2 linked regions of the Astyanax mexicanus genome follow. The protein of the gene in region 1 interacts with the protein of each later gene in a biochemical or structural test. Links are inferred from orthologs where the notes say so. Each region holds a gene or a part of one and is shown in the gene's direction. Other genes may lie near its edges. The genes, in order: tnksb and rnf146.

Evidence for each region.
Region 2: the proteins of tnksb (region 1) and rnf146 form a complex in vitro, tested with the Homo sapiens proteins (3 studies listed by BioGRID and IntAct, with this or other methods). The link is inferred for Astyanax mexicanus from reciprocal best matches to the Homo sapiens genes TNKS and RNF146.

The regions. Positions count from the first base shown.
Region 1 is NC_064429.1:11,655,621-11,667,431, reverse strand, and holds the start of tnksb (tankyrase, TRF1-interacting ankyrin-related ADP-ribose polymerase b), read left to right. Parts: upstream 1-6,909; 5' UTR 6,910-6,996; coding exon 6,997-7,363; intron 7,364-9,207; coding exon 9,208-9,432; intron 9,433-11,219; coding exon 11,220-11,315; intron 11,316-11,400; coding exon 11,401-11,437; intron 11,438-11,811.
Region 2 is NC_064420.1:22,197,817-22,209,513, forward strand, and holds rnf146 (E3 ubiquitin-protein ligase rnf146), read left to right. Parts: upstream 1-6,054; 5' UTR 6,055-6,257; intron 6,258-8,698; 5' UTR 8,699-8,699; coding exon 8,700-9,875; 3' UTR 9,876-11,658; downstream 11,659-11,697. UniProt on the Homo sapiens protein: E3 ubiquitin-protein ligase that specifically binds poly-ADP-ribosylated (PARsylated) proteins and mediates their ubiquitination and subsequent degradation. May regulate many important biological processes, such as cell survival and DNA damage response.

The DNA.
Region 1 (11,811 bases):
AGGCTCCAAACCCACTAATTACAGACCTCTGAGACATCAATATCAACTCTCCAATTTCAGACCTCAGAAATATCCACTTCACCAAATACAGACCTCCGCGACATTAACACCAACAACCACAGACCTTCAAGACAACAACCCCACCAGTCACAGACCTCCAAGACTCTTAAACTGAATTTTATATTGACCAATTACAGACATCCCAGCCCTCCATGACTCCAAATGTAGCAATTGTAGACATCCAAGACTCCAAACCCACCAATCACAGACCACTGAAACATCAAACCACAGAGCTTCTAGATATCAACCCACCAATTACAGACCTCCAAAATGTCAACAACAACCACAAACTTCCAAGACACAACCTATTACATAACTTTGAAATACCAACTTCACCATTAGAGACTCAACCCCACCAACCTCAACCTCAACCAGTCATCAACCAATTACTGACTTCCAAGAGCCCAAACCCACCACACCCCAATTTCATCAAACACAAAACCTTCAACCTCACCAGCTACAGACCAGCAACTGACCCCACCAATCACAGACTCCAACCCAGAGGAGATTTCTCCACAGTGACCTCAGGTCCAGAGCCAAGGAGGTTCTGAGCCTCAGATTATTCCTCAGCTGCCTGTATCAGTCTGTCTGTATGTCTGTCTGTAGTGAGGGGATTTATTGGGGTCTGTATCTGATGCCTCCTGAGGAACCAACTCTCTGACCGTCGTCCCCCATCTCAGGTCTCAGCTCTAATGGAATATAATAATAATATATTATTGTTTACGTGGAAATCACTCTGTCCTGCTCTTCGTTTTGCTAATTGCTAAAGCTGGTGATGTTCTGATGTGGGAGAAAGTGAAAAGGTTGCACTGATTTATTTTTTTTTGATGACAGAAAATGTTTTTAGATGGTGCCAAATGCAGATATGTGATGATTATTTTTCCTCAATAAAGGAATTTCAGACAAATAAACCCCTCCCTTCCTTCAGTTCAGTCTACAATAGAAGTCTGGTAAAAATCATCACTGTGCAATGAAAAACAAGCATCTCCATTTTTGACCATTTTTAGTTTACTATACAAACTGTCCCTTACACTGTGCCCAAATTTCTTAATGAACGGACCAATAGAAACTCTTCAAAATTACCTTAATTAGTTTTGAGAGTTTTTTCTCTCTCCTATAAAGTTGCTGTTTTGGAGATACTTATTTTTCATATATATAAACAGAGTGGTCTGGTAGGTTTGCTGGATGTTATTGCTATATATGCAGAAAGCATTATGTCAGTATTTCATAAATAAATAAAATGATCAGAACAATATTATACTCAAAAACAAAGACTTTCACACAGTAATTTATTTACATTAACCTGCATTAAAAGAACTCTTCAGCGTGCTCTCTGCAATTACACACTCTCACCAGAGAGGGCTCCAAATCCCCTAATCCACAAAACTTACAGACTGTCGCTAATAAAATAAAAGATTTTTATTGAAAAATAACCATATAATTTGCAAATATGCAAGTAAAATGCTTTAATCACAAAAAAATAGAAAATAATAAAAGACTATTATTAATACAAGCTTGTGTACATGTGTGTGTTGAACGGGAAGTACACACATTTTAAACATTTTAATTTTTGCATTATAAATTGTTAATGGTAACTCTTTAGGAGTGATTTGGTGTCAAATTCTATTAAACATTTTGAAAAGACTTTGGGTCTAAATTTTTGGCTTAAAAAAGTAACCAAAGAAAATGTGCATTAGTTTAGATGTCCCACCATATCATCTTCATCGCCATCATTATTATACCATATAAACTCAGAATCAGTGGTGGGTTTGAAAAGTAAATAAAATATCTATATTTCTACTATAAAGTATAATTATTTGACATTAAAACTACAGTTTTAATAATAATTTTACACACTGAATAATACAGAGAATTTTCAACATTTGGTGGAATTTCACTTTAAAATAAATAATGTTTTGTGGGTGTCAAAGGGTTCTCAGCAGGTCAGGGTAAAACACACAGCCTGTGTGTGTTTATGAGTGTGTGTATATGTGTGTGTTTATTAGCCTGTGTGTGTTTTTGTGTGTTTTTGTGTGTTTTATGGCACCATTTGTCTCGTTTACTTCCTCCAAGAGAAAAAGACACACAGGGCAGAAGCTATTTGTATCAGAAAGTTCAGTAGCTTTATTACTTTTCATATATTCATTTTTATTTCTCATCAGTATAAAGTATATTTAAAGTAAATACACTACAGAGAACACCTCATACTGCAGCACCAAATCAAAACCACAACAACAGCGCCCTCTAGTGTTCAGAGCTGGAGCTGCAGTGTTTAAACTGTACTGCAGAGAATCTTTAACACACTGTAAACGGAAAAGTTTATCATTATGTGAAATGGAAGCTTAAGAGTGGAAGAGTTGTGTGTAAACAGTATTTTATATATATTTTAATCTGATTTTTGTGCTACTAGCACTGCACTACATCTCCTCAAACTGCTGCTGCTTCTAAAACACTACCACTGCACCTCAACACGCTTGGAGGAGAACACTAACTTACTCTGGTGGGTTTTATGTGTAACAGAGAGAGAAAAATTTAAGTTTTGTATGAATATATTTATATATATATTGAGCCTGCCAACACATCTCCAGTCCACAGAAGTTTACTTGCAAGCTCTTAAATACTGTATACAGTAATTCATTATTATCCACTGCAACTGCTAACACTGCTAATAATACTAACCTGAGATAATGCTGAAAATAATGACCTAGTAAATAATTAGAAAATTATTGAAAATGTTAACGATTAAAACTAGTTAGTGTAAAAGACCTGATTCCCAGCTCCAACATCCAAATCCTGAGGTAAATGGAATGCAGCTAATTTTATGGTAAATGAGGCACAATGCAATAAGTAGCCAATCAGAACAATCAGAGGTTATTTACATTTATTAGTCTTAAAGACACTGAAATAAAAAATAAAAGTCTAATTATACCTAGAGATCAGAAGATAAAAAAGAAACTATAAAAAGTATCATAACTCTTTATATATTAATAAAAATATTATTTATTTTACCCATTTATCTGTTTATTTAGACGTTAGCTTACAAACAGAAAGCAGTTTATAAATACAGAGTTAGAATACTGAAGAAGATCAGTGTTAGGATATACGGCACATGCCATCTCCAACACCACACCTTAACATCATCAACTCCATTATGTCCAGGTATCCACCTGAGAGGTAGGTGTGTGTGAGTGTGTGTGTGTGCGTGTGCACTACAGTACAGTGCACGTGGATGACTTTTTGGAGGGTGGATGTTCCAGCTGTCCGTCGTTTACTCCTTCTTCATCATTACTGAACTTATCCTTCTGCACACCTGAACACACACACACACACACACACACATTGCTCGTACAAATGTATAACTCAAAAGGTCAGACAGTGCAGTGTAGCTAACAAGATATATAATCAACATGCTTCTTACTGTCTGTTTCAAACTTTAAATAAATTATATACATGAACTTACATGATTTTAGACAACAAGATTCTCTACAACTTCTATCTGTGCACATTATTCCATGCTGTTTGGATACACAAACTACTGTATAATGCTAACCTAGGGTGCTAACTGATGACAATGCTAAAAACTGTGCACCGTGCAGCTTTATTTAGGGTGTGTCAGTGTGTCTTTGCTATCGTAACGATGGGAAAAGTACGCACTGGTTCTCTTAATTAATCATGGATGTGGTTAATTTTGGCTGTAAAGTTCCAGAACACCACGCCCGTCAGTGTAGATATATTCAGAAGCTCTGCTGCTGTTTAAACCAGGCAGAAGGAAGGAGTGAAAATAGACTGTTGGTGGGGTGTAAGATAGCAATGAGCATCATTAGATTTAGTGCATAACATGCCTTGGCTGAATAACTAAAGAGGGGGTCTTCAGTTTAATACTATAAACAGTTGTTTACATGCTAAGACGTTTAATATTTTAAGTTTATCTGTAAAAACAATTACAAAACCGTGTCACAGCAGCTTTTCAGAAGCCTGATTTTCCCTCTTTTATAAATAACCATTTGCTTTATTGCAAAAAGCAGCAAAAACAACCTCATCATTTGACCATGTGCCTGAGGTAACCTCTGACCTCACAGTGATCAGTATAACTCACCCTGCTGACCCTCAGAGCGAACGTCTTCTTTACCTCCAGCTGCAGCAGATCTACATTCAGCCTGTGGAGCAGAACACACACAGTAAACCTCACACATCCATCTGGTTCATTATAAAGCTGCCATTTGTTCTGATTCTTCCAGCAGATGGAGGAAGATCTGCACCTCTAAAGCTTTCTCCAGCAGCGTCCTCTTCTCCACAGAGAGAGTTCCAAAATACCTGCAGAAAACAACACACACATCATCACAACCTACACACTTTACCTTAGTCTAATTAAACAGGATTTATTACAGCTTCTGTAATAAAATGTGCAGCAGGTCAGTGTTCTTTAAATAAAGATGATATCCAGGATATGTTCAGAAAAGTATATTTTGTATTCTGTTGACACAACTATTAATGATGCAATACAATAATACAGTTCACCCTTATTTCAGCTTGTCCAGAAATGTGTGTGCAGAGCAAATTCTGAAATTCCGCTATCTGACTGTAGGGGGAGCCCAGGAGCTAGAAATGGCAGTTCAAACATAATGCTGCTTTAAATTAATCCATATACCGGTAACTAATATATACAGCTCTGAAAAAATTAAGAGAGCACTGATTTTGTTATTTATAGGTTTATGTTTGAGTAAAATGAACATTGTTGTTTTATTATATAAACTACAGACAACAGTTCTCCCAAATTCCAAGGTTACCAAGATGCAGAGCTTTCAGACCTCAAATAATGCAAAAATAAAAAGAAAACAAGTTCATATTGATAAATATTTAGGAGTTTAGAAATCAACATTTGGTGAAATAACCCTGTTTTTTAAAATAACACAGTTTTCATCTTGGCATGTTCTTCTCCACCAGTCTTACACACTGCTTTTGGATAATGTTATGCCACTCCTGGTGCAAAAATTCAAACAGCTTGGTTTAAAGTTTTTTAATTTGGTAAAATCAAAGAAACTCATCTTTTTTATGTGGGCTCTTATTTTTATTCCAGAGCTGTATATTTTACTAGTCTAGACATTTCAGATAATCCATTTTTAATGATTATGCTTATCCAACAAGTTCTAATCCGTCAGATTCTGGTAATAATGTTTTGCTTGTTAAAATAATCCTGCTGATTAATATATTATATATCTAATATTCTAATCCACATTGTTAGCTCATTTGTGAATGACTGTTTATCTTTATTTCTTAAATAATTCTTCATGAATAAGACTTTGAACAGCAGCATTTCTGAACTAAATTGTTTTTAGGAATGTAGAGTTAGAGCTTCATTTCATTTTCAGACTGTATTCACTATAAATGTATTTTCTGATTATAGATAATAGAATAAACAGCAGCAGATCTGGGGCCTGTATATAATTGACACACAGATCTAAACCCAGTAAACACATGAGTTTATCTACAGATACTCACATCTTCAGATAAGAGCCCTGGCTCCTGTTCCCAGTGCTCATCCTCCCAGCAGCTCCAGAGGAGGTGGGCATTCTGCACCTGCATTCCAGCAGCCCAGTAAACACAGGCCCAGTTCAGTCCCAGTCCCCCCAGCAGTGTGGATTCTGGTCCAGGTCCAGCATTGCTGTGCTGCAGCAGCACTACTAAGGGTCCCGTGGGTCGCGTGCTGCTGCTGATCCGGGGCCAGCCGGCTGTTTGTTGTTGTCTCCATGGCAACACAGGGCACTATTGTTCACTTCCATCCCTCTCACCATTAGCAAACATCAGCAGAAACTAACTGGTTCTGACAGACCTGTAGAGTTCTGAAACTCTGGGTCACAAACACGGACCAGCGCCGGGTCTTGAAATCCAATACTGCTGCTGTACCCAATTACTGAATTACAATACTGCTGAGTATTTAACTACACTGTAATTCAGTATCAGATTTCAGTGTGTAAAGAGGCTGTACTGTCTTAGACTCTGTTAGCATGCTGTTAATATCAATGCTTCTTCATTAAACCGAAATCTAACTGAAAACTGAAGTCATAACTTCTGCTTTTATTATGTAATTTATTGATGATTTATTGATTTTTATATAAAAATCTGCAATTATACAAATCCAAATCTGGGAATTTGGGAATCAAAATGAATTCAAGGTATTGATATTGCAAGGTGAATATATTTGTACAATTAGCAGAATATCACAAAAAAAATGACAGTAAAACATTACTTCACTAAATTAGACTGGTGAATCAGCACAGTGTAACATACACAGCACAGCTAAAACAGAGCAGTCTGATTAACACAACACAGTTAAAACAGCACTTTTAGTACTGAGCACAGATATAGTACTGAGGAAATCGGACTCTGCTGTTTTAGCTGTGCTGTTTTAACTGTGCTGTGTTAATCAGATTGTACTGTTTAGCTGTGCTGTGTTAATCAGGCTGTGCTGCTGTTTTAGCTGTGCTGCGTAATTCAGACTGTACTGCTGTTTTAGCTGTGCAAATCTGACTGTACTGTTTTAGCTGTGAGGTGTAAATAAGACTGTGCTGTTTTAGCTGTGTTGTGTAAATCAGATTGTGCTGTTTTAACTGTGTTGTGTAAATCAGATTGTGCTGTTTTAGCTTTGCTGTGTTATTCAGACTGTGCAGCTGTTTTAGCTTTGCTGAGTAAATCAGATTGTACTTTTTTAGCTTTGCTGTGTAATTCAGCCTGTGCTGTTTTAGCTGTGTTATTCTGCTGTTTTATGGTAATATCTGTATCAGCTGATCGTGCAGAGACTCTCGGCGGAAGCCCGCCTCTCCCTGAGCGGAAGTGTGTGTGTTGCTGTGTTGTTGACAGAGTGTGTGTGTGTGTGTGTGTATCTGGGTATAGTGTGAGGGAGACTGTACGGGGTTTTGTATGTAACGGCTGGGTGTAATGGCGGTGTCCCGGCGCTCGTCTCAGCACCACGGCGGCGGGCTCCAGTCCCCCCCGCGGCTCTCCGCCGTCTCCTCGCCGCCCCTGGACTCTCCTCAGGCGGACACGGCCGCGCTGAGCCCCGCGGAGGCCTCTCCGGAGCGGCCGGGCAGCAGCGGAGCCTGCAGCTCGGCCAGCGGGGCCGCAGGCAGCGCCAGCCCGTCCTCAGCGGCCCCCAGCCCGGGCCAGGACAGCGGCGCCTTCCGGGAGCTGTTCGAGGCCTGCAGGAACGGGGACGTGTCCCGGGTGAAGCGGTTGGTGGACGCGGCGAACGTGAACGCGAAGGACATGGCGGGGAGGAAGTCCACCCCGCTGCACTTCGCCGCAGGTCGGTCGGGGAATCTGTGGAATCACTGCGCTGCTGGGCTTCGGGTTGTTTTCCAGCTTCTGTTGGAATTCTCCGTTCCACCTTAAATTCTGCTGCAGTTACATTATGTTCCCACAGGCAGCAGAACGGAACAGCTGTACTAGTTAAGGTGGAACGGAGAATTCCCAAACGAAGCCTACGTTAGCGTTTTATCGGAATTTAACTTTAATTTAACCGATTAATACACATCTATGGGTTATCAATAGCTGCATTGCGATCAATAACAATGTTAAAAGGCGAGATGTGGTACAGATTTAACCTCTAAACATGCCGAATAAACGATAATGGTCACGAAGTAGATTAGCCAAGAGCTAACTAGCCTAGCCTAGCCTAGCTAAACAGCTAATAACCCCCAGGAGCTGTAATAGGCGAGCAGCGAGCAGTGTGTGTGTGTGTGTATGTGTATATATATATATATATATATATATATATATATATATATATATGCACAGATATAACTGATCGAACAGTGTGATTGGTCAGTGAATTGTACGAGCGGATGCTGTGATGATTGATAAAAATTGCATGAACAGTTATTATTGATCAACGGGTTTGATTGGTAGCAGATATTATATGGTTATTGATTTGTGTAATAGACTGTTGTGATCAATTAACCCTAACTCAAGTAGTACAGCATAAGGCTTTGAATACTTTGATTAATACATTGATCATCTTTAAGTGATTGGTAAACATGTCTAAATCTAAAATTATTAATCTTGTTAGTATTATTATTTTTAATCAAATGATACATTTTGCAAGCATCAACTATTTGGGAAATTTAAACTATTGATCAAAATCTATTGATTAAATGCAGTGAGGGGTAAAGAGGTATTATTTACTAAATGTTATTATTGGTAACCAGCAATTCAGTAAAGCATAATTGGAAAACAGATATTATGATTATTAACTGATGAGTTAATTAATAAAAATTATAGTAAGCCCATTTTTATTTTAAATGTTATTTGTAAACACTAATTATTGATCTAGGCTGTCATTAGCAAACATCCAATTTTGATAAGATGCTGCTCTTGGTGAAAATAAACAGCCGTCATCAATAAGTAATACAGCATGAGGCTTTAATTACTTTGATTGATACATTGATCATCTTTAATTACGTGATGTCTATGTCTAAAAATCTTCTAACATTCTTGATCAGATGATGTAATTTATGAACATTATGCCTCAATCAAAGGTTGTGATTGGTAAGCCGATGAGGAAACGCTTTTGTTTTGACCATTGGAACTAATGGTCAAAACCCATTTGATTTAAAAGCAGAAAAAGGTAAACAGGCACTAAATGTCATTATTGGTAATGAGCAGTTGATAGGAAAATAGCTATTATGATTATTGATCACATGTTAAGATTGGTGAATAGCTGTAATTGGTCAAAATTATAGTATATATCTTGTGCTGTCATTAGCAAACAACAAATATTAATAAAATGCTGTGATTGTGGAACATCTGTTATTGATTAAAAGATGCGTACAGAACCTTCTGCATTGAAGTTCTTTAGTAGATCCGTTCCTAATATCTGCAGTCTGGTATAAAGTGTGTTTATGGAGTGTCTCTGACAGCAGTGTAAATAAACGGATTGGCAGTGGAGGGATTAATATAGCCGACGCCTGATTCTTTAAAATAGACCTGGATCAGCTGTGATGCGGATCTGCTGGAACGGTTCTGGGCGTGTGATCGTATATTACAGTCAGTGCTGCTGCTTCAGCCTCAGAGAGGTTCTGCTGGTGTTCTGGGTGTGTTTGGTTCTGCAGGGTCGGGTTTTGATGTGGTTCTGTTGTTTGGTCTCTGCAGGTTTTGGCAGGAAGGACGTGGTGGAGCATCTCCTGCAGACTGGAGCTAACGTTCACTCCCGGGATGACGGTGGGCTGATCCCGCTCCATAACGCCTGCTCCTTCGGGCACGCCGAGGTGGTCAGCCTGCTGCTGTGCCAGGGGGCGGATCCCAACGCCCGCGACAACTGGAACTACACGCCTCTGCACGAGGCCGCCATCAAGGGCAAGATCGACGTCTGCATCGGTGAGCAGATCAGCACCGTCACGCATCTGTATCTGATATTTAAATTACATCATATTAAAGAGGAGATCCGCCCTCAATATCTGCGGGTTTCCACGTTCTCTTAGCATGTCTCAGAAATGGTCATTAAAGGTCAAATTATTCTATAGAGTCAAATCTATGGGCTGTCTAGGATTAGGCAATGTATCAAGAAATATTTGCAAATAAAAATATTCACATTTAGAGCATTTATTTACAGAAAATGAGAAATAACTGAAATAACAAAACAGATGCAGAACTTTCAGACCTCAAATAATGCAAAGAAAACAAGTTCATATTCAGTTTTAAGAGTTCAGAAATAATCAGTATTTGGTGGAATAACCCTGGTTTTTAATCACAGTTTTTTTCATGCATCTTGGCATCATGTTCTCCTCCACCAGTCTTACACACTGCTCTTGGATATCTTTATGCTGCTTTACTCCTGGTGCAAAAATTCAAGCAGTTCAGGTTTTCAATTTGGTAAAATGAAGGAAAAACATCATCAAGTGGTCCCTTATTTTTTCAGAGCGGTATATACACACATACACACACACACACCACTGTTATATACAGAGTGGTGCTGTTGATGCACTGTGGAGAGGGATGATCCCTCATCAGTAACAGTAACGATGGGAAACCTTAGCGGTAAACACACACACACACAGAAGCATCGTGTGTGTGTTTCAGACTCGTGCTGAATGCCTCTGTGCTTACACACTGCTGAGGCAGCATGCTGAGTGTGTGTGATAGAAAGTGACAGCATCACTGGGATGTGTGTGTGTGAGAGAGAGAGTGGCTATAGTCAGGTTCACTCTTGCCTGAGTGTGTTTAATCGTGTGTGTGTGTGTAGTGTGCGTGTAGTAATGGTGTTAATGTCAGGTCTCATAAGAATTCAGTTCGATTTCGATTCATTGAATCATGAAATCGCTAGTTTCTCCTCAGTTGAGTTGAGTGATGGTGAATACATATATAACTGTGTATATAAGTAGAGAAGCTGTGTGCACTGGGTGGTGGTGGAGGTTCAGTTTGGTCTGCAGCAGTGTTTGCTGGTTTGTGTGGTTAGTGGTGTTTGTTAGCTCTGTTGAATTGCTGTGCTAATAGCTACTCACTGTATGGGCTGAGTGAAGCACTCTGCGGAGGGGTATATGTTAGTGGGGTTAAACTGTTTATTCTCTTGCCTTTATGAGACGCTCTACTTTTACACATTCTGCAAATTAAAATGAAAGAGCCGAGCCTGAGTGGATGCAGCAGTGCTCTGGCTGTGTAGGGGTGGAACAAGGAACTGCAGCTTCCTGTAAACTGCAGTGAACCTTAACAGCTTTAAGGATATACTACGTTAGGGAAATATTGATTGATTGTGTATTTTAGCTTAAAATGAGCAAATACTGATACATAGCCTATACAATATATACAGAACAGTAAATTGAACTTAGGAGTAAATAAAAAATAATAAACTGTAATAAATAACCACTCATTATTACAGTGTAATTAAGACATTTGCAACCATAGCTTACAAAACACTCCTCATTTTCTAATGCACAGAATTCTGAATTGTGGATATTGACTCAAAATATATGCAATCAGATTAATTAGTGCGATATGTGAATTTAATAAAACATACAGAATCTAATCTTTAATTTTTTGTGATTATTGTAAATTGTAAAAGTGTTTTTTTTCCTACATCAGAAGCTGGAAATGCAGAACATATTGGAAAATGTGTATATCTGTGTATATTTAATTTAAAAATCTATATTCTATGCATGTGCTTTCAGTGCTGCTCCAGCACGGTGCGGATCCCAACATCAGAAACACAGACGGCAAATCAGCTCTGGATCTCGCAGACCCCTCCGCCAAGACCGTCCTCACCGGTACACACACACACACACCTCACTGAGTAGTGCCTTTGTTATGTAACCCCCCACTGTTCTGATCAGTGTGTTCTTCTGTCCACAGGGGAATATAAGAAGGACGAGCTGCTGGAGGCAGCGAGGTGAGTGTGTGTGTGTGTGTATGTGTGTGTGTGTGTCAGCAGCCACACCCCCCCACACCCACCCCTCCCTCCGTTGCTAAGGGAGTGTGCTACAACAGAATGAGGAGGATACCCATTACCTCCGTATCTTTACAGCTCCTTCAGATTTACACTGGAGCTACGATGCTAATGCTAGGTATCACTATAGTGACGATATCACAATACTGTGATCACAAGACAATTCTCTACGATACTTCACAGCATCTGTGTTGCTAAAGAGGATAAAATACTCCTCAGTGCAACATATTATAGTGCACACTATCAATGAACGCCTATTGGTCTATTTTCATACATAAGGCACACCGGATTATAAGGTGCATTTTAAGTGACAATAG
Region 2 (11,697 bases), on another chromosome or scaffold:
TTTTCTTTTGTGAATAAAATATGGGTCTATGCAAATCACTGCATTCTGTTTTTAATTTAAAGTTCTTTACATGTAAAAAGTGTCCCAACTCTTTTGGAATTTGTTTTTTTTTTTAACTCAGTAACAGTATTACTCATTCAGATCAAATGACATTTTGTTCAATTATAATCTAATCTATTTAGAAACAGTATTACCCTATTAGATGATATGTTAATCTGTTCTGTTCTATTCTATTTACTCCATTTAGTTCACATTCTATTATATATTATAGCAATAATACACGAAAGGGAGTGCTATAACATGCAATATTGGCAATGCAGTGTTGCGGCCATAGATTATATGTTATAGCACAAACCTTGAGTGTATTATTGCGATCATACCACAGTTCTGTTATAGCTGTTTATTAAAAGATTTTAAGTTAAAGGGGAGGAAAAAAAATACGATCTGTTTGGTTATAAAAACTCAGTGAGTTTAAATAGTTCCATTGCTGCTCTGTTTGTAGCTGCACTGTTTGGTTTGTAAGCGCTGCATCATTGCTAGGTTACCTGTGTGTGGCGGAATAATACATGGAGAGCTTTAGTTACAGTGCATTACCAGCTAATAATGGCACTCACAAAACACCAATCACTCAGCCAATCATATTGCAGGGTCGGAACTAACTGTGGTATAATCAGTAATTAAATAATCTATTCAGATCATATGACATTCTAGTCTAATATAATCAAATCTATTCAGGAAAGGTTTTACCCTGTCAGATCATATGATATTGTATTCTGTTTTATTCTAAGCTACCGTTTTTAATCTACAACAGTGTTTTTGAGACTTTTCAGTCTGGTTTTAACAGAGACTGTAAAAAAGATGGACGCCGCGCAGGGCCGCCGCTCTGCATACGCAGACAACGCAGCCAGCGTTAGGCCTCAACCATTTTGCAGTTGCAGGGAGCCAAATTGACTGAGAATGAAATGTGTTGAAATTATGACATTATTAAATTTAAAACCCAATGTGAATTATTTATGATACGCTCATCTTTTTTGTCTTTAAACATTGCATGGGGCACCTACTCTACTACTTAAAAGCGGCACGTTATTATTTTTGTGCATAATATAATGCCCCCACCCCTATTGCCTGAAATGGCACGGCTCGGTTTGCTCTGTTGGTTGTTGCCAGATGTGACATTTTCCAGTCAAATAAATAATCAAAAAATGCATGGAGGCGCTAAATCTTGCGCATGTTTAACCATTTTTAAAGTGTATGTGGCCATTCTATACAAAAACTTGTCCAGTGCAATATTTGTGTAAGTTAAAAACAATAAACAAATAGGATGAAAAATCGTAACTTATCTGGCAACCTTAGTCCTAACTAAAGTAGCAACGCTACTTGAGTTTGGCAGGAGACAAGTTCACCGCGCGAAGTTGCTACTAAATGGTAATTCAACTATGAAGCGACGGTTTGAGTCTGGAGCTGAGAAGAAGAAAAAGAAGCAGAAAGATGAGGCCCATGCATCCCTTTCTGGTGAGTAACTTCGATGATAAAGGTTTAAATAGTTTTGATTACTTCATGTTCAGTGGTGTTGCCTGAGCTAGTTATGTTGGCTTTGCTGATTTGGTAGCTTTAAACGCTTAACTAGAAACTAATCTGGGTATTGCAAGGCACGTGGCACGTTTGCAAATAGTAGTAGTGTAGTTTGAAGATTTTTAGTGACTTTAATAAAAAAATAATAAACAGAGTAGCCTACCTATTGACTAATGCCGTCAGTGCACTATCCAAATGGTCTGTATGACAGCAGGATCAGACAGCTCTATAGATTTTGACAGGCTGATATAAATACACCACGAATATAAACGATAATTTCATAACCTTTAAGGCTGGCTTGTGTAAATGACGTGTCCACTGCTTAAAATAGACATGCATCGTTTAATTTATTATTTATGCATTATAAATAGTACTCTTGTGCTGTTCTTCACTGTTATTGGCCTTACTTATAACGTTGTAAATATTCACAGTTACATGTGTAATTTTAATAAATAGTAAAATTTTGCGTAAACCTTTTGTGTTTGTGTGTGTGTGTGTTTTTTTTTTTTGGGGGGGGTGGGGGGCCTCCCTGACCAGTTATGCTTAGGGCCTCCAAAACCTTAGCAGCGGCCCTGACGCCGCGTCCCCGTTCCCATTCATTCAATAAAAATTAAGCCAAATTTTTCCGCTATTTTGGGGATCCTGAAACCCGAGTCTGAGCAGTAGAGACCAGAGGAGGGAGAAAGACTGTGGAGAGACAGCCTACTCATTTAAATAAACCTGCCCCTGAGGGCTGCCTCCTCAGAGCTATACACAGTCTATGGTTCCACCCATACAGTCATTGGTCCACCCCCGGCCCTTTTACAATAACCACACCTTTTAGAATAGAGCTGAATAACGTTTTTAAAAACAAGTTCTGTGGGGATATAAAAACTTTGACAATATAAGCAGAGGTTACACTAGCTGCTGCATTTATATAAAGGAGGTAGAATTACAGTATATTGGAAAAAAACGTGATTGAAAGTTGTCTGTTTTGCCATTGAAACCTATGAGGATGGGTGGGGTTACACAGCTTCACTTTTGAGAGACGATGCTCTGTCCAGCTATACACAGTCTATGGCTTTTAAGGCTATGCACAGCACTGAATATGCGCTCCTTAAGATGACAAATGACCTCTTACTAACTGTCAGTTCAGGAAATAGCACCATCCTTATGTTATTGAATCTAAGCTCTGCTTTTGACACAGTTGATCATATGATCAATATACTTACTGGTCAGATAAAAGAGTGGGTGGGGCTACTGGGTGTATGAGCTACTGCTATTCCACACCTTGATGTGAGGTGTGGTGTTCCACAAGGGTCCTTACAAGGGCTCATCCTGTTTTTACTATACATGTAGGTCAAAATATTAGGAAGCACAATGTCAACTTTCATTTTTATGCTGATTACTTAGAGCTGTATCTTCCTATTAGACCCAATGGCAATGACTCATTTATGTCACTCAAGAATTGTCTTGAGGACATCAAGAAGTGGATGGCTGTTATTTTCTTCATCTGAATGAAAGCAAAACAGGGCTGATTCTTTTTGGTACTCCCCATTTCTGTAACAATGTTTCTAATAACCTTGGTCATCATACGTTAGGTCTTCAGTGAGAAATCTGGGTGTTGTTTTTGACACAGACCTCAGATTTGATAAACAAATTAACTCTGTATTAAAACGTAGTTTCTTCCAGCTCAGAAACATTGCAAAACGGAAGCCTTTTCTCCATTTTTCTGACCTTGAGAAAGTTATTCATGCTTTCATCTCTTCACCAGTAGACTACTTTAATTCTTTATACATAGGGATTAACCAGTCTCTTCTGCATCACTTACAGTTAGTTCAGAATGCTGCATACACATGAAAAGAAAACATACACTCTAAGAAATATAAGTACAGATTTGTACTTAAAAGAGTACAAAGCTTGTCGCTGGGGCTGTACCTTATATTGAGGCACAAAAAAGTACCTTTCAGTGAAAGTCCTTTTTTGTACCCATGTTTTTTGTGGCAGTAAAGATCATAAAGATTATAAACATTATCATCAACTAAATATGGCTCAAAAACTTGATGATACAAAATTGTCTGGCTTTCAAATAAAAAATGTGCAATTTAAATATATATTGTTCATTAGTACAGTGGTACAGAATACTGAATGTACCCTTTGGCTGGTTAAATGGTACAAATTTGTACTTATTGCTGTTAGAAATGACTTTGTACTTCAGAGGGAACAAATCTGACCCCGTAAAGACCAATATTGTACCTTTGAGGGTACAATTATAAAGAGTGTACCTTCGAGTACAAAAAAGTACTCATATCGTACCTCTGTTTTTGAGAGTGTATATAACCAGTCCTCTCCTCACTTCACTGGCTACTAGTCCAATATAGAATACAGTTTAAAGTGCTTTTAGTTGTCTTTAAAGAAACCTTCCTTTATTGCAGATTTGCTCACCTCCACAGTCTCACTGCACTCTCTGAAATCATCATTACTGAATGTGTTGGCCGTGTCTAGGGTTCTTCTGAAACGCAAAGGTGATTGTGTATTTTTGGTGTATGCTTCAAGACTTTGGAAAAAAAGTCTGCTGCCTGCTATTCACCGAGCTACCTCTATCTCGGTTGTTAAATCAGGTCTAAACACTCACTTTGCTAAGTGCGGACCATGCCTAATTGAAGTAGAGAAAAGAAAGAAGAAGGGGAGGGAACTCTGGGAGTTTTGGGCTGGAGTTCTGAACTGCGTGCTGAAGAAGCGTGCAGTTATATCCCCACCTTTTTTAATTTAATAGGAAGTGATAGAGTAGAAGAAGGGGGTTGTTGGGGAGGAGGTGGGTTGCGAACTTTCGTCACGAGAGGTAGTTAGTCAGGGCAGGTATTTATAGGGCGGCTGATTGATACAGGGTGGAGTTAGAATGTAGAGTTTGGGCGTGGTCCTTCTCCCAAACTTTTGTTATTACATTACATCATTTATACAAACTTCCTTTGGACAGTGCGTGACTCAAATTCAGGGCATATTTTATTCAGTTCTATTTTATTTTGTATTGATTCAGATATCTTATAATATTCTGTTCAATATTAATATTCTTTGTAATGTTCAGGTCATATTTTATTCTATTCTATTCTATTCTATTCAGTATTACCTATTCAGATGCATTATAATATTCTGTTTTGTGTTCATCTTGTAGGTAATTCTATTCAAATCATATTCGATTGCATTGTGTTGTTATTGTATTCAATGTGTGTCTTTTCTGTAATGTTATTCTATTTGGGTCATATTCTTTTCTATTCTATTCTATTCTGTATTATATTGTATTCATATTGTGATGTGATGTTATGTTATTGTGTTCTGTTCAGTATTTATATTGTATGTAATGTTATTTAGGTTATATTTTGTATGGTGAAGTGTTGTTATTATGTTCTGTTCAGTATTTGTACTGTATGTAATGTTATTCAGGTTATATTTTGTATTGTGATGTGTTATTATTGTGTTCTGTTCAGCATGTTTATTGTATGTATATTGTGATATGTTGTTCTGTTCAGTATTCATACTGTATGTAATGTTATTCAGGTTATATTTTCTATTATGAGGTGTTGTTATTGTGTTCTGTTTAGTGTTTATATTGTATGTGTTCTTATTGTGTTCTGTTCAGTACGTATATTGTATGTAATGTTATTCAGGTTATATTTTGTATTGTGATGTGTTGTTATCATGTTCTGTTCAGTATTTATATTGTATTTATATTGTATTTGTTGTTATTGTGTTCTGTTCGGTATTTATATTGTATGCAATGTTATTCAGCTAATAATTTGTATGGTGATGTGTTGTTATTGTGTTCTGTTCGGTATTTAGATTGTATTTATATTGTATGCATTGTTATTGTGTTCTATTCAGTATTTATATTGTATTTATCTTGTGATGTGTTGTTATTGTGTTCTGTTCAGTATTTATATTGTATTTATCTTGTGATGTGTTGTTATTGTGTTCTATTCAGTATTTATATTGTATTTATATTGTGATGTGTTGTTATTGTATCTGTTTTGTATTTATATTGTATTCATATTGTGTTGTGATGTTATTGTGTTCTGTTTAGTATTTATATTGTATTTGTATTGTAATGTGTTGTTATTGTGTTCTGTTCAGTATTTATATTGTTTCTATATTGTGATGTGTTGTTATTGTGTTCTGTTCAGTATTTATATTGTATTTGTATTGTAATGTGTTTTTATTGTGTTCTGTTCAGTATTTATATTGTATTTATATTGTAATGTGTTGTTATTGTGTTCTGTTCAGTATTTATATTGTATTTATATTGTGATGTGTTGTTATTGTGTTCTGTTCAGTATTTATACTGTTTCTATATTGTGATGTGTTGTTATTGTGTTCTGTTCAGTAGCAATGTTATTATTACGCCTCCGGATCAGGTGTTCGTGCCTGTCAGTGAGTCACTGTGCGCTGCGCTATAAAGCCCCTTTCAGCGCGTGACGCCCCGTTTAACCAATATCATCCACTTGCAGCGCCGCCGCTGCTGCGCACTTCCCTGCGCAGTGCTGATCCGCTCTAAGGCGCAGTTGTCAGTGCTGTGTTCGGTTTGAGCTCGAGCTCCTCGGTTAACGGACAGCGCGCGGGTCTGAGCGGAACCAGGATGAGCCGCCGGGCCGGGGGCAGCTGAGCGAGTCCGGATCTTTCCTAAGCGAAGGGCGCGAGCTGGGTTTATACAGGTGAGCCGGGCGGTCGGGGGTGTTATAGCTCGGCTAGGCTAGCGGCGGGCTACCGAGCTCTGTGGAGGAGGTTTAGCTCGGCGGCTAGCGAGCGGCAGGCTAACGGCAACATTCCCACAGAGACTAAATCACGGACAGCGGCTTTTATCCGGACAAAAACCCGGTTATCTGGCTTTTCGGGAATGTTCGGGGTTTAGACCGGGATGTGTCACGGCCGTAGGTCGGCTAAAGTTACCATTAGCAGAGAGCCGCGGCCTCCGCTTACAGCTAGCTAACCTAGTTAGCTAACCCAGTTAGCAACAGCTGTGTTTGTTAGCTTTAGCGCTTTAGCTTCTCAGCGCTGCTCCCAGAACAGATGTTCAGTAAGACATTAAAACAGCCGCGGCCATAAAGAGCAGCTTATATATTCATTTATTCGCTATTTTTACTCAAATTAAAGCCATTTTAGTCTCTGTTTCTTATTAGTGCTCAGTTTAAATGCCTGCAATTAGCTGTAATTCTGAAGCAGATCAGGGTCAGCGCCGCTGAAGGAGGCTTTGTTTGTTTTGGCCATTTTATCGCTGTGTTGCCATCAGCTGTCACCGTATTTGAGCCGCAGTCTATGTAGAGTTTCGGGTTGTACACAGATGACCAGCTCCCAGGTCAGTTTTAAGCTCTTCCAAATGCCATCAGGCTTGATTTTGTGTCTTTAAAATTGACCCTAGGCCTGTAACGATAACTATTTATTGTGTACGATGTACTGTCCAATAGGGCTGCAACGGTTAGTCGATATAATAAAAAATGTCGGTTATAAAAATATGTCGACTCTAAATATTCATTGTTGACTTAAATAGTTAATTGGTAGTACTACACAAATGGGAGAATGGTATTGGTCTCACTCGCACAGTTTACACTCACCTGGGCCTGCGTCTCCAAAAGTGCCCAATTACAACAGAATACATATTTCTTCACTAAATAGCAGCACCTGAGCTCATGTTCATCTGTTTCTATTGTTTTGTAGGGATAGAGAAAGCTAGAAACAAGAGACGTACCCACAACAAACAGAGAAGGAGTGCATGGCAGAAACAATCGTTGACCAGTTGTCTAATCGAAAAAACAATTGGCAGATTAGTCGACAGACAAAACAATTATTAGTTCCAGCCCTACTGTCCAAGAATTCATTGTAATAATTATTTAGTTGTAATTTTAGACCGTTCTGTGCCATTGGTTTACTGATAACAAAATGTATCAGTAAGTAGGAAAATGTATTTACACCTTTTTAAGAGCATTGAACTTTAAATTTGAAATACAAAAATGCTCAATATTCCAAATAAATACAATTAAGCTGATATGTAATTTTTTTTTATCTGTTCAGAAAGGAGCATCTGTTTTCAGTGAAAGTTTAATCTGTCTCTACTTATTCAGTGTTAAAATAGATAAATAAAAGGTTTAATGTTAGCTGGTGTTTAAACACCCAGTCTTGAGTTAAATTTGAAGGTAAAAGGGGTAAAACGAAATTGTTTGTATGGCTTACCCTTACAACGCTACCAAACATACAAACAGGTTTTATGGAAAGATGAATGTGACAGCAGATCATATTAAGCTTATGATCTACATGTATTTTATCATTTAAATCACATGATAATGTAATCTGTTCAAAATACAAAGTGTACTGAATACTGTTATGTGACCTAGATTTTCCTCAAAACTAGTTGTTAGGTTGAGGGGCAGAATTGTTTAACTGAGGGAGTACATTTATTTTATTTTTCTGTTGATTTTTCTATTTTATTTCTGCCTTAACATTTTAGATGCTCTCTAGATAAAATAAATATAATATAATATAAAGATTTTTCATTAAATTTCTTTTTTTCCCTATTTAGTAGATTATTTAGGTCAGAACGTTAGAGGAGGACAGCATTAGACTGTTGTGTAATGGCAGCCAGAGAGCCAGAGACAATGAACAAAAGACACAAACAGCTTCTGTTTTAGTGAAACTAGACTAAAGGAGGTTCTGTGAGGACTGTTTGTGCAGCCTAGTCATTTTAGACGTTTTAAAATATTAGTTTCTGGTAAATTCTTTATCATTCTCCTATATTAACAAACATTGTGACATAGATATTTGACAATTAGTTTTTGTGGTTGGTGTGGGCAATATTTTTATTGTCACTTGTTGCAGTATGTTGTGTTTAATTTCCAGTTAAATTTGGATCATTTTATGCTGTACACATTTTTGTACATGTTGCAACAAATTTAACACATTCTGAACAGCATATAAAATGTTCCAAAACATTTGTTCATGTTTCAATTCATTATTAATTTTATTTCATTTTAAAACAGTGTAGAATTGGTACTCTTGCACTACATTAGGTAACCAAGGGTTAACTGACCTGTGTGTGTCTCCATGTCTTACGCATTGTGGAATTCATTTTTCAATTTATTTTTTTCTCTCTCTCCTTTTTCAGAATGGCTAGCTGTGGTGAAGTCGATCACTCCGTGGATGCACTGGCCTCAGGTAAGAAGGTGGGCGGAGACTCTGTGACCAGCAGCAATGGAAGCCCCTCCCCATCTCCACCTGCACTGCCAGTCCTGGAGTGTGCCATCTGCCTGCAGAGCTGTGTCCACCCGGTGCGCCTGCCCTGCCGCCACGTGTTCTGCTTCCTGTGCGTGAAGGGCGCCTCATGGCACAGCAAGCGCTGCGCCCTCTGCAGGCAGGAAGTGCCCGAGGACTTCCTGGAGCGGCCTACGCTGCTGTCGCCTGAGGAGCTGAAGGCCTCTGCGTCCGGCAGCCGGGGGATGGGAGCCGGGGACCATGCGTGGTACTACGAAGGGCGCAACGGTTGGTGGCAGTACGATGAGCGCACCAGCCGGGAGCTGGAGGATGCCCACAACAAGGGCAAGAAGAGCGCAGAGATGCTGATCGCTGGCTTCCTGTATGTGGCAGATCTAGAGAACATGGTGCAGTACAGGAGGAACGAGCATGGCCGTCGGAGGAGGATGAAGAGAGACGTGGTGGACATCCCTAAGAAAGGGGTGGCTGGACTGAGGCTGGATCCTGAGCCTGGAACTACATCTGGAGTGGCAAGCGGATCAGGATCAGGACCTGGATCTGCATCAGCTGGGTCACCAGGTGTCAGTGTTACAGCAAGCGGGGATTCGTTGAGCAATATGGACGGAAGTGTGCCAGAGAGAGAGAGTTCAGCAGATGGGGCAGACACGGTGGCCAGTGCGGGGCGCCCTCAGGTGGGATTTGCCCCGCCTCCTGTCCGGCCACCTACCATACTGGGGGGTCACCCGAGCAGCCCTGCAGCCTCAACCCCCTTGTCTCTTGTCCAGGCATTGGCTCAGCTCAATATAGGCCACCCTGGGCCTGATGAGGAGGAGGACGATGATGAGGATGAAGAAGACGATTCGGTGGCTCCTGATGCTTCAGGATACGAGTCAGAGTCAGGCACAAGTGAGGATGTTGATGACGATGATGACCGCGCCGGTGAGGAAGGTGGCGGCGAGCGGGCGGATGGGGCTCAGGGCAGGCATAGACTGCAGCAGCTGGACAGACTGCCCCCTGGTGGTGGAGTTGGTGGTGACGGAAGTGTTCGCTCACGCAGCCCCGATGGTCAGTGCACGGTAACAGAAGTGTGACCCCCACCAGCTGCCAGCGCTTTTACTGTTGCCATCGTGACGCACTGGCCACCTAAACGCCCATCTGCCAGGGTACTGCTAACAAATGTCCGAAAAGCAAAAAAATTTCAACATAATAAATCACATTTAAGGAGTTTCACAGTGGCACAGACTGGGGACGGATATTTAAGGACTTAAGGAGTTGTGAGGAATGCAGACTTCTCTAGAACAGTGGTTATCAAATGCTCCTCCTGGAGATCTACCTTTATGCATGCTTCACCTTCTTCTTCTTCTTTCAAGTTAAGCACACCTTATTCAGCTGATCAAGCATTTGCAAAGGCAATAATTGATAAGGTGGGTCTGGTGGAAGGATCTAGGTCGAAGCAGAATTATGCATGAAGTCAGATCTCCAGGGTTGCAGACCACTGGTCTAAATAAGGAATTTGGTATTAAGAGCTTGGGAACACATTGATGCTGGTGGAAATTTCACTAAGAACGGGGGAGTAATTAACAAAGCAGGATTTCTCAGTTTAGCCAGAGGTTTTGTCTTTAGTTTATAGTCCAAACCTGTCTAATCTGGAATGGTAAAACATGGCTACAAATCCTACATTGTAAAATAGACTCTAGTTCTCTGAGTGATGAGCCAAAGTGGAACCATTTTCACACTTTCGCAAATCTTAAATTTACATGCCAATTTCTCATGAACACAAGCTTCACAATTACACTCATCCTGTACAAAAGTGCTTCTTTTAAAGAACATTTTAAGATGAATTAATTTTAGGTTAAAAAGTGGTTCTACTCCAGCATTACACAAAGAACCCTTGCTGGCTGCTTTAATTTTAAGATTGTTCAGAAAATTTCTTTAAACCTTTAAGATTCCTAACACTCTGTTTCTCAGGCAGTTATTACAAATCCTTTTATTTAGAGGTTTTTTAAACTCTCACATCTTGTTTAGTTGACATGTTTCTTTAAAGAAACATTCATTGAATATTTGTAAAGGCAGACTGCTGTGACTTTTCTGTGGCCCTGATCTGAGGAAACATTTTGTAGCCTTTATTTTAAGAGTGTGAAGTGATGCTTCTGCTGGTGGATTGGGTGGAAGTTCTCCAGTTTTCTGAGAAATCCTTCTTTGTGGAGTTTTTCCCCCTTCAGTGTGTTTGAAATTAGAATTACTCAAACCCACACTTCTTCAGTTTTGCTTTGTTCTTTCTTTTTGTTCTCTTTTCTCTGTGATTCTCTTTGTCTTTATCTAACAGGGCTGTGCTCCAATGTTCTGCCATCAGGTGCAGCAGTAAGAACCCTTCAGCCAGCTGACATTTACTTCTCTTAGTGTTTAATGATGTGAGGTTTAGAATCACAGCCCAAAAAGTGTGTGTGTGTGTGTGTGTGTGTGTGTGTGTGTGTGTGTGTATGTGTGTGTTTTCCGGCCTGGTCTAGCTGTGTCTCATCTCAGAGCATGAGCCTGTCTCATGACTTTTACATGTGCTGCTGTGAGAGAGGCATCCAGAAGGAAGTGACCCCAGGCTAAAACGCTATGAACTCTGGGAATTGGAATTTTTATTTGAGATTTTACTCATAGTTGTAGTTTTCTGTTACTGGTGTCCAGTCCGAAGTTTGAAATTTTAATCAGTTATTTTCGGGTCATGTCAATTTGTTGAGATTCTCTTTCGTCAACAAAAAAAAAAACAGAACACAGAAATAATAACTGTAACTTCTTTTGATGTACTTTGTTTTATTGTGTTTTTTTTTGTTACTAAGTTTATCAGATTAATAAAGTGTTGTCTATTATTTGTCTCAAATCAAATGGTCGTTTGCATTTTTCTTCAGCAGAGAATAGAACAGG